Linked DNA regions of Saccharomyces cerevisiae S288C. The gene in region 3 interacts genetically with the main gene of each other region. Each region holds a gene or a part of one and is shown on either strand. Other genes may lie near its edges. The genes, in order: MUD1, IST3, MUD2 and CBC2.

What was found.
Region 1: mutations in MUD2 (region 3) and MUD1 together harm fitness more than expected from each alone (negative genetic interaction), as found in Saccharomyces cerevisiae (5 studies listed by BioGRID, with this or other methods).
Region 2: mutations in MUD2 (region 3) and IST3 together harm fitness more than expected from each alone (negative genetic interaction), as found in Saccharomyces cerevisiae (5 studies listed by BioGRID).
Region 4: mutations in MUD2 (region 3) and CBC2 together harm fitness more than expected from each alone (negative genetic interaction), as found in Saccharomyces cerevisiae (5 studies listed by BioGRID, with this or other methods).

What each region holds. Positions count from the first base shown.
Region 1 is NC_001134.8:477,208-481,571, reverse strand, and holds MUD1 (Mud1p), read right to left. Parts: upstream 2,235-4,364; coding exon 2,227-2,234; intron 2,138-2,226; coding exon 1,249-2,137; downstream 1-1,248. Other genes in the region: GRS1 (glycine--tRNA ligase), read left to right, coding at 1-208; CBP6 (Cbp6p), read left to right, coding at 649-1,137; TEF2 (translation elongation factor EF-1 alpha), read right to left, coding at 2,525-3,901. UniProt on the Saccharomyces cerevisiae protein: Involved in nuclear mRNA splicing. The principal role of the U1A is to help fold or maintain U1 RNA in an active configuration. It is the first snRNP to interact with pre-mRNA.
Region 2 is NC_001141.2:362,544-366,801, reverse strand, and holds IST3 (U2 snRNP complex subunit IST3), read right to left. Parts: upstream 1,914-4,258; coding exon 1,467-1,913; downstream 1-1,466. Other genes in the region: actin cytoskeleton-regulatory complex protein PAN1, read left to right, coding at 1-1,336; DJP1 (Djp1p), read right to left, coding at 2,283-3,581; AIM21 (Aim21p), read right to left, coding at 3,878-4,258. UniProt on the Saccharomyces cerevisiae protein: Required for pre-mRNA splicing and spliceosome assembly. As part of the pre-mRNA retention and splicing (RES) complex, required for nuclear pre-mRNA retention and efficient splicing. Required for MER1-activated splicing.
Region 3 is NC_001143.9:292,771-298,022, forward strand, and holds MUD2 (Mud2p), read right to left. Parts: upstream 3,424-5,252; coding exon 1,840-3,423; downstream 1-1,839. Other genes in the region: AAN1 (Aan1p), read right to left, coding at 186-1,538; Hsp70 family chaperone LHS1, read left to right, coding at 3,660-5,252. UniProt on the Saccharomyces cerevisiae protein: Splicing factor that contacts pre-mRNA directly and is a component of the pre-mRNA-U1 snRNP complex (commitment complex 2) that forms during early spliceosome assembly in yeast extracts.
Region 4 is NC_001148.4:209,948-214,175, reverse strand, and holds CBC2 (nuclear cap-binding protein subunit CBC2), read right to left. Parts: upstream 2,019-4,228; coding exon 1,392-2,018; downstream 1-1,391. Other genes in the region: CUP9 (Cup9p), read left to right, coding at 214-1,134.

The DNA.
Region 1 (4,364 bases), on a different chromosome or scaffold from region 3:
ATTCGGTGTCACCATTGACTTTGAATCTGCCAAAGACCATTCTGTCACTTTGAGAGAAAGAGATTCCACCAAGCAAGTTAGAGGTTCCGTCGAAAATGTCATCAAGGCTATCCGCGATATCACTTACAATGGTGCTTCTTGGGAAGAAGGTACCAAGGATTTGACTCCTTTTATTGCCCAAGCTGAAGCTGAAGCTGAAACTGACTAAATAAATGACTTAATTTTAACTATATATCGCCAAACATGTAAATTAAAAAAAGAAGCGAGAAGTATATACATGTGTGTATGAATAAATAATTCGTTTACTATTGATACGTATTGCAAGATATGATTATGTACTGTCCACTAATACGATTATTTTGGAAGTTTATAAAAGAAGTGCGGAAATCACATCTGCTGTTTATTTAGCCATTCCTCACACTAATAGTTAAAGTACTTTCATAGCAGCTCTGCGCATGGTCGGACATGCGAAAAATTCTGATATCAAGAAAAAGCGAAATATTTCCGGCCTTGTAGGGGCCAAAACATTAACGTATATCAAGATTTCCTGTGGTAGCAACATTATAAGAAAAAAAGGTAGCCTTCATTGAAACATTCTCTCTATCAGCTTACCAAGTTAAACTCCGTATTCCACAAGCAAGTGCCAAAATGTCTTCTTCCCAGGTCGTCAGGGATTCTGCCAAAAAATTAGTTAATTTACTGGAAAAATATCCAAAGGATCGTATACACCACTTGGTCTCATTCAGGGATGTACAAATAGCAAGATTTAGACGTGTAGCGGGTCTGCCAAATGTAGATGACAAAGGAAAATCTATAAAAGAGAAAAAACCCTCATTAGATGAAATAAAAAGTATAATTAACAGAACTTCCGGTCCATTAGGACTGAATAAGGAGATGTTAACCAAAATTCAAAATAAAATGGTAGATGAGAAATTCACGGAAGAAAGCATCAACGAGCAAATTCGTGCCTTGAGCACTATAATGAATAATAAATTCAGAAACTATTACGATATTGGCGATAAGCTCTATAAACCTGCAGGAAATCCCCAATATTATCAACGGTTAATAAATGCCGTTGACGGTAAGAAAAAGGAAAGCTTATTTACTGCAATGAGAACTGTATTATTTGGTAAATAAAGAGCACATTATTTTCTAAGCTTGTAAATACATATTTATTCATAATGGAGAACGTTATTCAAATTTATCTGTGAATTTCTTTACTCGAGGTATACTTCCGCAAAGGAAATTCTACTTAGCAAATCCTATGGTAACGTCATTGTTTTGTAGCTTGTAAGTGGAGCCTAACTGATTCTTGATTTTCGTAGCATCAGCAACGGTCTCGTATTCCACGAAAGCTAGGTTACGAACGCTAACTAATCTGATTTCAACTAAAGCCTCATTGCCAAGTATTTGCGACAATAATTGCTCGGTAGTGCCGCTTGGCAAATTTTGTATAAGAAGGACTTTGTTCGGTGGATTTTCCATTGTATTGGACACTTTAGCCCGCTTAAGAGGTTTCTGCGATTGTTTTAGATTTTCTTGCTGAGACTTCATGTTTTCCAATCTACGGGTTTCAAATTCTTTTACAATCCTATCAATCTCAGCCTCCTCTACCTTTCTTGATCTCAGCTTATGCTTCAGGCGTCTTATTTGCCTTTTAAGCCTGAACTTTTTGGCGCATATATCATCACTACGTAACTTGCGTTTAAGTTTCCTTGCTTTAAGCACCTTCTTTATATCAAGGTTGTACGTTTCGTCATTACCTTTTTTTTTTTGCATTTCTATTGAAAGACCCAATAACGAATTTGTTCGAGCCTTTCCCATTCTCACTTTACGACCTTGAACTTTTAATGCTGTTGTCGTGTATTTTTCTAGAAACCGGTCTGCTTCTTCTTGAGTGACAAACGTTAAAAATGCTTGGTTAGTCATCTTTGATGATCTTGAAATAGAAACTTCAAGAAGGCCCATTTGATCATCTAGTAACATCAGCGGTTGTGATGATATTTGTAATTTATTGTGGGGAAGGGGTAGCGACGGATTAATGGCATACTTGTTGTTGGGATTAATGTGTTTCAGAAGTAATCTGGTATAATTTTCTTTATTTGCTGGCCTACTGGGTAAATTTTGAAAGTACAGTCTGTTTTTATTGGTCATAGAGTATAGAATAATGAAAACGTTAGTAGAAAGAAGATTTAAGGAAACGTAAATTACAAGGTATATACATACGCTGACATGGTTTCTTTAGGTTTGATGAGGCCGTCTTTTGTTGATAGCAGCTTTTTCCATTTTTTTTTTTTTTGTTTCGAGTAACGTATGGTTTAGTATCTGTCTTCTCCTTCTCTTACAAAAAAACCCTTTGTAAAATAGTGCCGAGTTGGAGGACATCAATCTGATGGGCAAGAAAACACCAACCCCCCCTATATGAAAAGAAAATGATAAGCAGATAGATAAAAATACTTAATTAACTAATACATAAAAATAAGAGGTATATAAAAATATTATATGGAAGCAATAATTATTACTCTTATTTCTTAGCAGCCTTTTGAGCAGCCTTGGTAACCTTAGCGGCCTTTTCAGTCTTGTCAACAGACTTGATAACACCGACAGCGACAGTTTGTCTCATGTCTCTGACAGCGAATCTACCTAATGGTGGGTATTCACTGAAAGCTTCAACACACATTGGCTTAGATGGAACGAACTTGACCAAAGCAGCGTCACCGGACTTCAAGAACTTTGGATGGTCTTCCAACTTCTTACCAGATCTTCTGTCGTTCTTTTCCAACAATTCGTCGAATCTACAAGCAATGTGAGCAGTGTGACAATCCAAAACTGGAGAGTAACCAGCAGAGATTTGACCTGGATGGTTCAAAACAATGACGGTAGCGTTGAAAGAAGCGCAACCCTTTGGTGGATCGTTCTTAGCGTCACCACAGACGTTACCTCTTCTGATTTCCTTAACGGAAACGTTCTTGACGTTGAAACCAACGTTGTCACCTGGAACACCTTGTTCCAATTGTTCGTGATGCATTTCAACGGACTTGACTTCAGTGGTAACACCAGCTGGGGCGAAAGTAACAACCATACCTGGCTTGATGACACCGGTTTCAACTCTACCGACTGGCACAGTACCAATACCACCGATCTTGTAAACATCTTGCAATGGCAATCTCAATGGCTTGTCAGTTGGTCTAGATGGTTGTTCAATGGCGTCAATGGCTTCCAACAAAGTCTTACCCTTGACGACACCGGCCTTGGTTTCCTTTTCCCAACCCTTGTACCATGGAGCGTTGGTGGTAGCTTCAATCATGTTGTCACCGTTCCAACCAGAGATTGGGACGAATGGAACAGTCTTTGGGTTGTAACCAACCTTCTTGATAAAGTTGGAGGTTTCCTTGACAATTTCTTGGAATCTGGATTCGTCCCATTTGACGGAGTCCATCTTGTTGACAGCAACAATCAATTGTCTAACACCCAAGGTGAAAGCCAACAAAGCGTGTTCTCTGGTTTGACCATCCTTAGAGATACCGGCTTCGAATTCACCGACACCACCAGCAATAATCAAGATAGCACAGTCAGCTTGAGAAGTACCAGTAATCATGTTCTTGATGAAATCTCTGTGACCTGGAGCATCAATAACGGTAACTTGGTACTTTGGAGTTTCGAACTTCCACAAAGCAATATCGATAGTGATACCTCTTTCTCTTTCAGCCTTTAACTTGTCCAAAACCCAAGCGTACTTGAAAGAACCCTTACCTAATTCAGCGGCTTCCTTTTCGAACTTTTCGATGGTTCTCTTGTCAATACCACCACACTTGTAAATCAAATGACCGGTAGTGGTAGACTTACCAGAATCGACATGACCGATAACGACAACGTTAATGTGAGACTTCTCTTTACCCATGTTTAGTTAATTATAGTTCGTTGACCGTATATTCTAAAAACAAGTACTCCTTAAAAAAAAACCTTGAAGGGAATAAACAAGTAGAATAGATAGAGAGAAAAATAGAAAATGCAAGAGAATTTATATATTAGAAAGAGAGAAAGAAAAATGGAAAAAAAAAAATAGGAAAAGCCAGAAATAGCACTAGAAGGAGCGACACCAGAAAAGAAGGTGATGGAACCAATTTAGCTATATATAGTTAACTACCGGCTCGATCATCTCTGCCTCCAGCATAGTCGAAGAAGAATTTTTTTTTTCTTGAGGCTTCTGTCAGCAACTCGTATTTTTTCTTTCTTTTTTGGTGAGCCTAAAAAGTTCCCACGTTCTCTTGTACGACGCCGTCACAAACAACCTTATGGGTAATTTGTCGCGGTCTGGGTGTATAAATGTGTGGGTGCAACATGAATGTACGGAGGTAGTTTGC
Region 2 (4,258 bases), on a different chromosome or scaffold from region 3:
GAATAGGCGAAATGTTACTCAAAGTTCCAGATCGATTAGCAGTGAAAACTCTCGAGAACAGCCACAACAGATTGCTGGTTCTTCCAATTTAGTTGAACCTAGAGCAACTCCATTCCAAGAAGAAAAATATGTGGAAGTCGCTCAACCAACTCAACCTGTTCAATCAACACAACCTGTTCAACCAACTCAACCTGTTCAGCCAACTCAACCTGTTCAGCCAACTCAACCTGTTCAGCCAACTCAACCTGTTCAACCAACTCAACCTGTTCAGAATGTATATAATGCAAAGCAAGAATCCGATGATGAAGATGAAGATGATGAAGAAAAGCGTTTACAAGAGGAGCTAAAACGATTGAAACTTAAAAAAAAGGCTGATAAAGAAAAAAGACTTGCAGCTTTACGTAAGCAAATTGAGGATGCTCAAAATGAAAGTGACGAAGAGGAGACAAACGGAAAAGACAACTTTGGCGGCCATGTGAACGTTCCTCAGGCCGCTCCAGTGGCACCATCTGCAGCTTTTTCGCAAAATTCTACTAATGCTCCTCGCTCGGTACACGCTGCTGTTACCCCTGCCGCAGGTAAGAACAGTACTGGTCTGCCTTCCACGACAATGGGCCATAATCCATACTTCAAGGATGCATCAGCTAGCTCTACATCTACTTTCGATGCTCGCGCTGCAGAAATGCAAAGAAGAATCCAAAGAGGATTGGATGAGGACGAGGATGATGGATGGTCTGATGAAGACGAGAGTAATAACCGCGTAGCTGTAGATAATAAGGTTGAAGAAGCAAAGATTGGTCATCCTGATCATGCACGTGCTCCACCTGTTACTGCTGCTCCCTTGCCGTCTGTTACCCCTGTTCCACCTGCTGTCCCTGTCCCTCAGGCGAATACCTCTAATGAAAAGAGTAGTCCTATTCCAATAGCTCCGATACCACCTTCTGTTACTCAGGAGCCACCCGTCCCGTTGGCTCCCCCTTTGCCTGCTGTTGATGGCTTTCAAGAACCTCCAATTCCCTCAGCACCTGCAATAGCTACTGCCGTGCAAAAATCGGGTTCTTCCACCCCAGCTTTAGCTGGAGGCGTTTTGCCTCCACCCCCACCTTTACCAACTCAACAAGCTTCCACTTCAGAACCTATTATCGCTCACGTTGATAACTACAATGGTGCTGAAAAAGGCACGGGCGCATATGGATCCGATTCTGATGATGACGTTTTATCGATTCCTGAATCAGTTGGTACAGATGAAGAGGAAGAAGGGGCACAACCAGTTTCTACTGCAGGTATCCCATCAATTCCACCTGCAGGTATTCCTCCACCCCCACCCCTTCCATGAAGATTTAATTTGCTTTCTATAGATACGTATGTATACTAATTTCTGAAAGGATGTAGAATTACAAATATGATATTGATTATTTTTTTCTAGGCTATATGAATATAAGATATGCGATGAAAGAAAAAATTATTTAATTTGGTTGGTCCTTTTTAGCCAAAATGAGTTTCTCAGCATTGTTCTTCGAAACTATATCTCGATCCAATTCTTCCTTTACAGCTTCATAGTATTTTTGTAAACTCCTTTTTGGCCTATAAAAAGTATGATCAATTTTGAGGGCTCTACCGCCAATTTTAAATCCATTTAAATTATCGACTGCTAGAATCGTTGACCGTTGATCCTCATATTTCAAATATGCAAAACCTTGCGATTCTCCTGTGTTTTCATCCCTGCTAAGAATTACATCTACAGGGACTCCATATTCAGAAAAGACTGTCAATATGTCACCTTCTGTTAATTCTCGGTTGAGATTTCCGATATATATATAAGCATTATCCTTATATTCATTATGCCATGATTGATGCGGGCTAAGAATTCCACTTTGTAGTTCTTTATCGTTGATTTGCTGAATTTTGTTCATTGTTATTTTGTTTATATTATCTATGTTCTTGATCTAGAATTGCACGCTGCACTTTTTGAGTTGTATGAGTAATTAATGTTCGGCCTATTTTTTTTTATCTGTATTAATCTCAAAAAATTCCTAAACCCAGAAAGGTAAAAGAGCTTATCATTTAAGTGTGGCATAATTCTCCAGCCATAACCACTTCCTTATCACATAAATTATCATTGTCACTGAGTTCAATCACTTCTTTATTGTTCTATTGTCTTTCTTTCAAGAATAGAATTATCAGTATTAGTGTGATCTTATATACATTATATTATATTGAATACAGATAATAAAAAAAAGTGAATTTTTGAATTTTTAATATACAAGAGATGATTGCTAACTTCATGTATGTCTCTTCTTTTTTGTAGCTTCTGCTACAAGTTCTTCAAAGATCTGTGCCTCTTCTTGTTCGACTTTGGTTCTGAAAGTTTTCTTAAAGACTTCACCCAATAGTTTCATTGCTTCAGCTCTTCTGATAAGCGTTTTCTTACTTACCGAGTCATCTTCTAGTACTTTTTTACAAACGCCACGTAAAGTGGATGTTATTTCATATTTAGAACCATGCCAAGCAGCCGACAATACTTTGCCCATCAATAGCTGCTCTTGCTGCGCCAGTTCCTCAGTGGTTGGCTTAATTTGCTCATTTCCGTCTTTGTCAAACAAAGGCTCATTATTCGTGCTAGCTTCTTTCATTTTTTCAAGCTCCTTCATAGTATTCTGAGCGTCTATGGCTGCCGAAACAGTTCTTAGTGTATCCATAAATACTCCCCCTTTAGCCTTCATAGAATGAAATATACCACCCATTCCGAACAGGTTCTGGGATGCAAGAAAAATTTCAGCTTTTTCGTAGTAAACGTCGCCTATTGTGTGTAATATGTCCAGACCAAATGATTCCATCTTTAAAAGATTGGCTTCCTCTTCGAACTTTTTTTTAAAGGAATCTTTACATGCATCATCATAGACACTTTCTGTTAATATCGATAATCTTTCAATCAATGTTTTGCTTAATTGGTCTACTCTTTTTTGCTTTTCTACCTCTTGTTCTTCCTCAAACTGCTCTAATTTTGTCTTCTTCTTCTTAGCTTCTGCTCCTACCTGCTCATTTTTCTTGTTTCCATCGTGTACAGTTAAATTACCAGAAGTTGTCCTCGCCTTATTTTTGTCATCTTTTTCGTTAGTATTGCCCAATGCTGCATCAACAGCGTTAGTGGTGCCATTCGTCTTACCGTCTGCAGGTGATTCTTCCATTGTTTCCACATTCTCCTTCTCCTTTTCAGCTTCGTCTTCAGCATTTAGCTCCTCAGTTTTCTGTAGGTTCTTTAATAGCATCAGTTCGCCAATATATGAGGCAAACGCATCTCCACCAAAGATGACAGAGAACTGTTCAGCTGCATCTTCAAAGCCGCCCTGAGGAATAGCTTCTTTTCTTCCATACTTATCATACTTTGCGCGAAGATCATCGTCACCTAAAACTTGATAAGCTTCGGATATTGCTTGAAACCTTTCGGTAGCCGTGGGGTCATTGGGATTCTTATCAGGATGCTCTTGAATAGATTTCTTTCTATAGGCCTTTTTTATTTCAATGGAAGATGCAGTGGTAGACACACCTAACAAATCGTAATACTCAGTATCAACAACCATATCTTTTGTATAATGCCCCTTCTGGCCGCAAGAAACACTTAATGATTTAGCATAACTCTGTTATTCCTCTTGTAAATCTGCCAATTTGTTCAGTACGCTCTGCTTCAAAATAGCACAAAATTCAGGGTGTGCGGGTAAAAAAAAAAAAAGTCGAAGAAATATATATATATATATATAGAATAAAATCTAGTTTTTATGCCATTATTATTAATAACACCTCTAGTTTGCTCGTCATTCACATATTTCTCTCTTGATACATACTATAGAGTTTATTCATACATATTATTTATAAGATTCTAAAGGGAGTGAAAAGACGCTTCTTCTGAATGTAAGGCAGAATCAACGTCTTCGTAGCCACCTGAGAGTTCTCTTTCCATATCAACCTCCATTTGGTCCTCCATCTGCTGTTCCTGTATTTCTGTCGTATCGTTTTGATCTCTGTTGGCGATGGCCTCCGATGGGGACAGAGATTCCTCACTTATGGCTTTTCTATTACCTACGGCGTTCGTCTGTGGCAACTGAGAAAGAGGATCCGACTCAGCATTAGCAGGTAACTTTTCCTTTTCGTCCAGCTCAAAAGGACAAAGAGCAGCCTCCATCTTATTTGGAGATTGTTCTCGTTGTTCCTCGGGAATGCTCTTTGACTTTTCATCCAAGGCCCTTTCTGCTTGCTCACC
Region 3 (5,252 bases):
TATACTTCTTTTTTTCTCCTTTGGATAGTAAATACGGTAAATTAAAATTAGTGTAAACTGAACAATATTAACATATATAAATCATCTGTACGACAATTTGATACCAAATAAATAGAGAATGCATCAGCATCCTCCAGGGTTCAAAAGAAAACGCTGGATCTTGCTTCTTTTCCTTTGATTTCTCCTTATATCCATTTCTGTCTTGCAGCAACTTCACATATTTTTTCCAGTGTAATGACCCTTGGATCAGGCTTAAAATGACGCTCAACCACATTATCATCTCCTTCCACATTCCTGCTAAGTAAGCTTTCTTCGTCGCCCTCGCTATTGTCCACATTATCTTCATCTTCATCATCATCTCCGCCGACGTCTTCAATGTAGTAGAAAAAGGGTTCCAACACCAACATAATTTTCCAGAAGTTGTTCGTGCCACAATTAGCAAACAAGACATCTACAAGGGCAGGTAGGTATTCCAATTCAATGTACTCCTCTGCGCAACAAACAAATTCATCTAATTCGTAATCTTGCTCATCAGCAGATAATGTAGAATACATTTCTGATAACAACGTTAATTCTTTGCTAATTGTTTTTGGAATATCTTCTCGAGCTTGCCATAACAGCTTTTGCGCTCTTTCCAGTCTTTCTTGGCTAACGGCATCATCCTTGCTCTCTTTTTCGCCTTTATCACCTTGGACATTTTCGGAGTCTTGTAGAGAAGGCAAGAATCCGTTCTTTTCGCTTTTGACCATAAGCTCATTGTATTCGTTATAGAGGGAGATAATTTTCATCATAGGCTTGTATAATTGCTGACAGACTTTCATTTCCGAGTAAGGTACAATGACTTTTTCCAAATAGTGATTGATCAGTCCTTCCATGAAGTTTGCCCAAATTGACGAAAATACATAATCCTCGTCGTAAGTCGATTCCGTAAAATCTTGGTTGATGTTATGCTGTATGATTTGCTCTGTAAGAGTTGGGAAAAGGTTTTTATGGCTTTTGACCATTTCATCTCTCAAAGCAGTAGATCCAGCGCTATCTGCTCCTTTAGTAGAATTTTCCAAACTATTATCTGTTGAAGACGCCTCTGAGTTCTTTTCACCATCTGTCTTATCTAGCCAGTATTCCGGACCACCCTTTTCAGACAATGTCACCAATAAAAGGAAGAGTTTTACTTTAACCCACGGGTTTAGCGAGTTTACATAGGCGTCCGTAATTTTGCTAACATCGATATTTATTTTTCTATGGATGCATTTGATAAATTTTTCAATGTAATGTGATTTTTTCAATCCGTATTTTTCATTCAGATATCCAACCGAAGTGATTACGTCGTAATTTGTATTTTCCATGTTCGTATGCTTCAAAAAGTTGAATGTTAACTTTCGTCTATTTCCATAATGTCTTTCTCTTTTCTCCTCACCTTTCTTCTTTCTTCTAATCTTTTTTTCTTTTGAAGCACCCAATTTAAGACATCTTTTACAGGTACAGTCCTTTAACGATGGCTCGTTGGCCGCTTGCTTGGGCAATAAATCTTTAGCCATCTTCTTTGGCGCGCTATACTAGGCTTGATTTATAATGTTAGTTATTCCAAAAATGTGAAGGAAATTGATCAAGGCAAGCTCTAATGATGATTATTGACCCATGCAACAAAAAAAGTTTGAATTCTCTTAATTTTCCAGATCGCAAGTTAGTAGTCAATCTGCTAACTTTCGTTATATTTCAAAAAAGTAATTGTACAAAAAAAGTCACCAAAAACGAGGACTTTTTTCACTGCGTTAAAGATTAGATCTACATAATGAATACTCAATTCTTTACTTAATTTCGCTCTACAAAATAGACCATTTAGGAAAGTTGGGTTGCTTCCATCATGTCAAAGTCGTCCTCATCTATATAAGTACACAGAACAGTGCGATCGTTGAATTGCGTACCCGGCAATTCTTCCATTGCGTGTTTTGCTGCCTCCAAGGTCTTGAACTTGATATAAATATTACCGGCTCCGGAAGCCAAGTTTTCAAAATTAAGTCTGTAATCGACGCCGGGTTGGCATATTTTAATCGTATCTGCTCCCGCGATACTATACTTTAATGTTTCTTTAATTTCTGTGATAAAGGTTTCATCTTTCAAATCCAATGGATCAAGACAATTTAAGAGCAACAAAACTCTCGATTCAACACGAACAGATTGGGTAACCAGATTTGGCAGGCTTTGAAACGTAATCCATGAAGTAACTTGTGATATCTTTCCATCATTTGGCTTGAACCATTTGTATGGTTTTAATTTATCAAGAATATCCTGAGTGACGACTTCAAACGATAATAGAATACATTTAGTGAATTCGGATTCTTTGCCAGTGTTGTTTGTATTGGACGAACATTTGTAAAAAAGTGGCTTAGCGGTACCGTTTGTTACATTCAATGACGAAAAAAGCTCTTTCATTCTATAATCTTCACCCTCGCCTATATTTTCCAAATTTTCCAATGCAATTACCGTACCCCTGCAAAAATCGACCAGATGATCAAGTTGTTGAACATAATCATTAGGTCTTCTCCATTTTAAGTCGAAAGTACCAAGCTTCGCATTAAAGAATGATCGACAGGCCAAAACCATAGTGCTACAGATCTGAGAACTAAACTCAACAATAATATGGTCCGGCCTTCCTTCACCAATATAAAAGTTGGAAATTTTAAAGTCCTCCGCATTACTCTCAGTTTTCTGGAGACCTGAAATAAAATTTTCCAGCAAATCTTTCAATCTTGCTACAATGCTGGGGTCGCTGCTTTGAGACAAGCCCGAAATTACAAGCCTTGAATTTGCCTTGGATGAGGCCATGTTGTAGTAAGCCGGAGAATCGAATGATGAACCCGGGTACATTACATTTTGGGAATTATAGTTCATGTCATATTTATTAGTTTGCAACTGCCTTTTATCACGGTCGCCATTGAATTTAGAACCTTCGTTCTTCCTTTGGTAATTGAAACGATCGTAGTTTCCGTTTCCATTTCTTCCCCTTCTATCGAACCTTTCATTTCTTCCTCTTCTTTCATCCCGTTGCCTATTATAGGGATTGTTGTTCCATTGGGGCCCAGTATTGTGACTACTATACCGATTCTCCCTGTTATATGATCTTCCCGATGCATCCCGATAACTTTGACGATGAGGACCTGCCCTTGTTTGTTCATAAGTCGTTCGATTCGTGCTCATAGTAATTATTGACGATGGTCCTCTGTTATTAGAATGTGAAACGTTTCTACTTTTTGGCGCTTTCGGAAGCTCACCGTCACTTTTTTGCCTCTTAAAATGTGTATCTATAACTGCATTATCCGTGTTGAATCTTTTGTTCTCAATCGGCACAACATCCTTTTCTGATTTTCCTATAGACTCCATTATTTTGGATCTCAAATCCTCCAGTCTCTTTTCATCAGCCATCTCCGTGTGCTTGTTTTCTGTGTCAATTAACTTTCCTTTTCTACTTCTTTTATATTAGCATGTACAGTTTAATTTCTCATCTCGAATTTTTTCAGCACTTGCTAATTAGGCGCGCGCCTCAAATATATAATATCGAACACGCTGTTATAAAAGTGATCCATTCTACAGCGTAATATTAACAGTATCGCTCCTGCAGTATTCTGGCATTATTAGTGCAAATAAGTACGCATATTACCATGCGAAACGTTTTAAGGCTTTTATTTTTAACAGCTTTTGTTGCTATAGGGTCTTTAGCAGCCGTTTTAGGTGTTGATTACGGTCAGCAAAATATCAAGGCCATTGTGGTTTCTCCGCAAGCCCCATTAGAACTTGTGCTCACACCAGAGGCAAAACGGAAGGAGATATCTGGTCTTTCGATAAAAAGATTACCAGGTTATGGAAAGGATGATCCGAATGGGATTGAAAGAATCTACGGTTCCGCTGTTGGCAGTTTAGCAACAAGGTTTCCCCAAAACACATTGTTGCATTTGAAACCGCTACTTGGGAAATCACTAGAAGATGAAACCACTGTAACTTTGTATTCAAAACAACACCCCGGTTTAGAAATGGTATCAACAAATAGAAGTACCATAGCCTTTTTAGTTGATAATGTGGAATATCCATTGGAAGAGTTAGTGGCAATGAATGTCCAAGAGATTGCCAATAGAGCCAATTCACTGTTGAAGGATAGAGATGCAAGAACTGAGGACTTTGTAAACAAGATGAGTTTTACAATTCCTGACTTTTTTGACCAACATCAAAGGAAAGCACTTTTAGATGCCAGTTCAATAACCACAGGAATCGAAGAGACATATCTGGTTAGTGAAGGGATGTCTGTTGCAGTTAACTTTGTATTAAAGCAGCGCCAATTTCCACCAGGTGAACAGCAGCATTATATCGTATATGACATGGGGAGCGGTTCTATTAAGGCCTCAATGTTCTCTATATTGCAGCCGGAGGACACTACTCAGCCCGTTACAATAGAATTTGAAGGATATGGGTATAATCCACATCTAGGTGGTGCAAAGTTTACAATGGATATTGGCAGTTTGATAGAGAATAAGTTTTTGGAAACACACCCAGCCATAAGAACTGATGAATTGCACGCTAATCCCAAGGCCTTAGCAAAAATCAACCAAGCAGCAGAGAAGGCAAAGTTAATTTTAAGCGCCAATTCTGAGGCAAGTATTAACATAGAATCACTGATCAACGATATTGATTTCCGTACTTCTATAACTAGACAGGAATTCGAAGAATTTATTGCAGACTCGTTATTGGACATTGTCAAACCCATAAATGACGCTGTTACAAAACAATTCGGTGGCTATGGAACAAATTTACCTGAGATAAATGGGGTCATTTTGGCGGGAGGCTCTTCCCGAATTCCCATTGTGCAGGATCAATTAATCAAACTCGTATCCGAAGAAAAAGTGTTGAGAAATGTCAATGCTGATGAATCAGCTGTGAATGGTGTTGTTATGAGAGGGATCAAGTTATCTAATTCGTTTAAGACCAAGCCGTTAAATGTTGTTGACCGTTCTGTAAATACTTATTCATTCAAATTATCAAACGAATCTGAACTGTATGATGTGTTCACGCGCGGAAGTGCTTATCCAAACAAAACATCTATTTTGACAAACACGACTGATTCGATTCCTAATAATTTTACCATTGACTTATTTGAGAATGGTAAATTGTTCGAAACTATCACAGTTAATTCAGGAGCTATAAAGAATTCATATTCCTCTGATAAGTGCTCGTCAGGAGTTGCGTATAACATTACTTTCGAC
Region 4 (4,228 bases), on a different chromosome or scaffold from region 3:
CGCGCCCGGCGTTTTCTTGTCTCTTAATGCCTCCTGTTTCTGTTAATTGGTAAGATTATGTTAAATTGGTCAAGATATATACTAATACAATTTTTTAGTTGATCTTCCCACCCTTGTTTTCAAGCGATACCACGCCTATCCAGTGCTACTGATCGCTACTTGCCGAGCCCCTACTTTTATGCTAACAACCTTCGAGAATAGTTACATTCGAAGATGAATTATAACTGCGAAATACAAAACAGGAACAGTAAGAATGTTGACAATCAAGTCAGTCTACCCCCTATCCAAGTTCTATTTAACTCCATAGAAAAACGGAGTATGCCCGAGTTGGCATTTTCGAACATAGAATACTCGCATGGGAACCTTCGGTCTAGTACCGAGGAACAAAACTATCCTGCGCCTGTGTTACTTCCACAGCATCATTCGATTGCGTATCCCGCAATTAATTCTGGCGGTACTAGTACTACTGCTACTCCTACTGCTTCTACAGTTGAAACGTCCAAGACGAGTAGCAGTGCTATGGATACACAATCTCAATATGGCAGTTCAAAGAAGTCAAAATCGGCGTCCGATGATGCAAAGCCCTGCTACAAATCCGCCCCAATATATGAAATAATCAATAAGGAAAAGGATGCGGGGGCACAATACAACAGGCCATTTTCGGATTTTGTAGAATCTAAATCAAGGAGGAAGCAAAATTCGGGCAGGAGGTCTAACCTGCCAAAGGAAACAGTGCAGATACTGAATACTTGGTTGCTGAACCACCTGAATAACCCCTACCCAACTCAACAAGAAAAGAGGGAGTTGTTAATCAAAACTGGGCTAACCAAGATTCAACTTTCTAATTGGTTCATAAATGTGAGAAGACGCAAAATATTTAGTGATTACTATACCCTGGTAAACTCAATTCCTAATGACAACGCGAATAATACCCCAGTGGAACGAGTTCAAAACGTCTCAGCATATCATAACACATTATCTGCCACAAATAATACTATGTACGATGCTACGTCAACCTGCTCCACGGATTATGAATTATCCAAGAGATTTGCTCATGCCCCCGTTACACGCCGTAAAAAACTAATTGATAGGCTGGAAGAATTGAAAAAGCTATCCAACCCTGATATGAATTGATCACTTATCAATGCATTACTTAAATATTCATATAATTATATCTATTACCATTTACATTTTATCGTTACTATATATAGTATTATCATGTCATTGAACGTGTTACGTCTATTATGTTACACTGATTTTTTTTTTTTTTTTTTACATAACAGCATCATGCAAGCCTTTAAAAATAATGTAGGTATGTATATATACAATAATATATATATATATATATATATCTGTGTGTAGAATCTTTCTCAGATATAAATTGATTGATTCTACTGAGGTACGTAGTTATCATCTTCTCTTTCTTCATCGAAACCTGGTCTGAAAGTACCCATTGCATCAGGAGGAGGGATATAATTATTCGTATTAGATTGTGAGCTACTGTTATCAAATCTGGAATGTGGTACGCCGACACGCTCTGCAAATGGAATGGCGAAGCCACCTCTGGATGCATCAAAATCGAACCTCAATTCATCGCTGACTTGACCACCGCTCTTACCACGACCAAACTGTCTTCCATCTTCAAAACCAGGATCTAGATCAATGGTAATTGTCTTTTCGTCTAACTTTGTATCGGACAAATATTTTAAGGCATTCAATGCTTCATCTGGACAACTATATATAATAAAACAGAAGCCACATGGCGTGAACTTAAAACGGTCCAAACCCATAATTATTCTTTTTATTGTGCCACATTTACTGAATAATTCGTAAATTTGTTCTTCTGATGTATAAAAGGAAAGATTTCCTACATAAATTGTGGATGACTTCATCGACTCACGCAGTTCTTGTAGCCCGTTAGGGTTTCTTCTAGCCTTGCGCAGCAGGTACCTTGATGGTGTATCTAGGCGTTTAGTTGAATGATCATATTTAACTTCGTCAAATTCTTCCAGGGACATCTTTCCCTTTATTTATTGGTATATTAATGGATGCAACTTTTATTCGATATTAGTCCTTTCGGGACTTTAAAAGCTGTCGAGACACTTTCTCCATATAAACTCATGTTCTATATTCATACATATAATATTTTTCTTGAAAAAAACACAAAAACTGTTAAAGCGGGTAATACTTTGATAAGCACTTATTAACGTTTATACCATACACTACTTCATACACCAATTACAAATCTATTAGTGGTATACTTTTACTGTAGACAATGTGGATTTTGATGTAATTGTTGGGATTCCATTGTGATTAAGGCTATAATATTAGGTATATAGATATACTAGAAGTTCTCCTCAAGGATTTAGGAATCCATGAAAGGGAATCTGCAATTCTACACAATTCTATAAATATTATTATCATCATTTTATATGTTAATATTCATTGATCCTATTACATTATCAATCCTTGCGTTTCAGCTTCCACTAATTTAGATGACTATTTCTCATCATTTGTGTCATCTTCTAACACCGTATATGATAATATACTAGTAACGTAAATACTAGTTAGTAGATGATAGTTGATTTTTATTCCAACATTTACTGGTACAATAGGTGTATGATATTTTCCCAAAGTTTAAATTTATATAATATAAGTGGCTTGTGCATTAATGCTCTTGAACGAAACTGGATAACGAAAACTGCAAATACTTGTAGTTTTAAACAGACACTTTCTGGGATAGGTCTATCAGCGAAGCTTGGGAATGTTTCGCCAAATTACCTGTATCCTTTCATGAGCGTGAGCAGGTTTAGGTCATGGTCACATCTTATTATATAAATTCTTTCAGAAGATTGTCAATTGTCCATCTATCGCCATAGATTATCTGAGAGCGAAGTTCCATTATGTCTACTAGTAGAAAATAATTTGAAGTTGAAATATAATAGCATTACAAAATTTTTTCTTTATATAGTCCGGTCTTGAAGAAGGATAACAATATTAAGTGTATGAAGACACAAGAACTTTTTCTTGGAAATTTGGATTTTTATGGGAGGAAACCTACAGCGGCAATGTATAATTATGATTAGTTCATCCTTTGCTGCCATCTGTTCGCAATTATTCATGCAATTGTATGATTATTGTCAGGCATTTCAACTTCCGGTAGATTCGTTTGTAATAATAGGTGAATTTTGTGTTGACATTATCAAACCGTTAAGATAGTGTTAGTTGCCAATTAGCATTTGCCTCGATAGAATGTGACGTTAGTTGTGGTACTAGGAATAAAAGTTGATGGCCAAACATTTTTCCTGCACATTTCCTTCAGCGTTTTCAGAAAAGAGAATTTGAGTAAAAATATTTTTGATGTTTAGGTTACCAATATCTCATTAATATAAATTTGAAAACAATGAATTTTGGGTTATACTTGGAGTGCATTTTATTGTGGTTAAAGGCTACAATATTAGCTAAACAGAATGTACAAGTAGTTTTCCTGGAGAATAAAAGAATTCTAAAAGAGAATCGATAATTCTATACAATAATATAGTTATCTCTTCTTTCGTTTATGTACTGTCGTTCTTGTTTTATTACGTTATTAATCCTTGCAGTGCACTTTTCATGATGACTGGTGACTGTTTCTCAATTTTTACATCATTTTTTTTTGAAAACATGATGATATACTAATAATTTGGATACTAGCAATAAATGCTTCTTGATCCTCTATTCCAACAAAAAAGTAACAAGAGCTTACTGATCTTCGGTTTTTATTTTACCTTATCCCAAATATCAAATTGAAATATACCGATTGTTTTAATCCGTTTTGTTGTATATTATCGTAATAATATGCAGATAATATACATATATACGTATTACGCCGATTAGGCTGACACTTTAACAAAATTTTCTGTCCAATTATTGTCCGATATAGTGTAACGGCTATCACATCACGCTTTCACCGTGGAGACCGGGGTTCGACTCCCCGTATCGGAGTTTTCTTTTTGCTTCCTTCCGCCCTTCCAAGTTGTTGCATAATCTTATCTGTCAAAATATGAACGCTTGAAAACTATAGATTATAATTATCATTTATTTAGCCATAATGGAGGGAAGAATAATATGATTGCATATCAAAGGTAAAAAAAGTCGAGTAAATGACTTATAAACGTAAAAAATATATTGATAAAAGACATAAACGAGGCCATGAAGGTGGGAAAAAAAAAAATAACTGCATAATAAT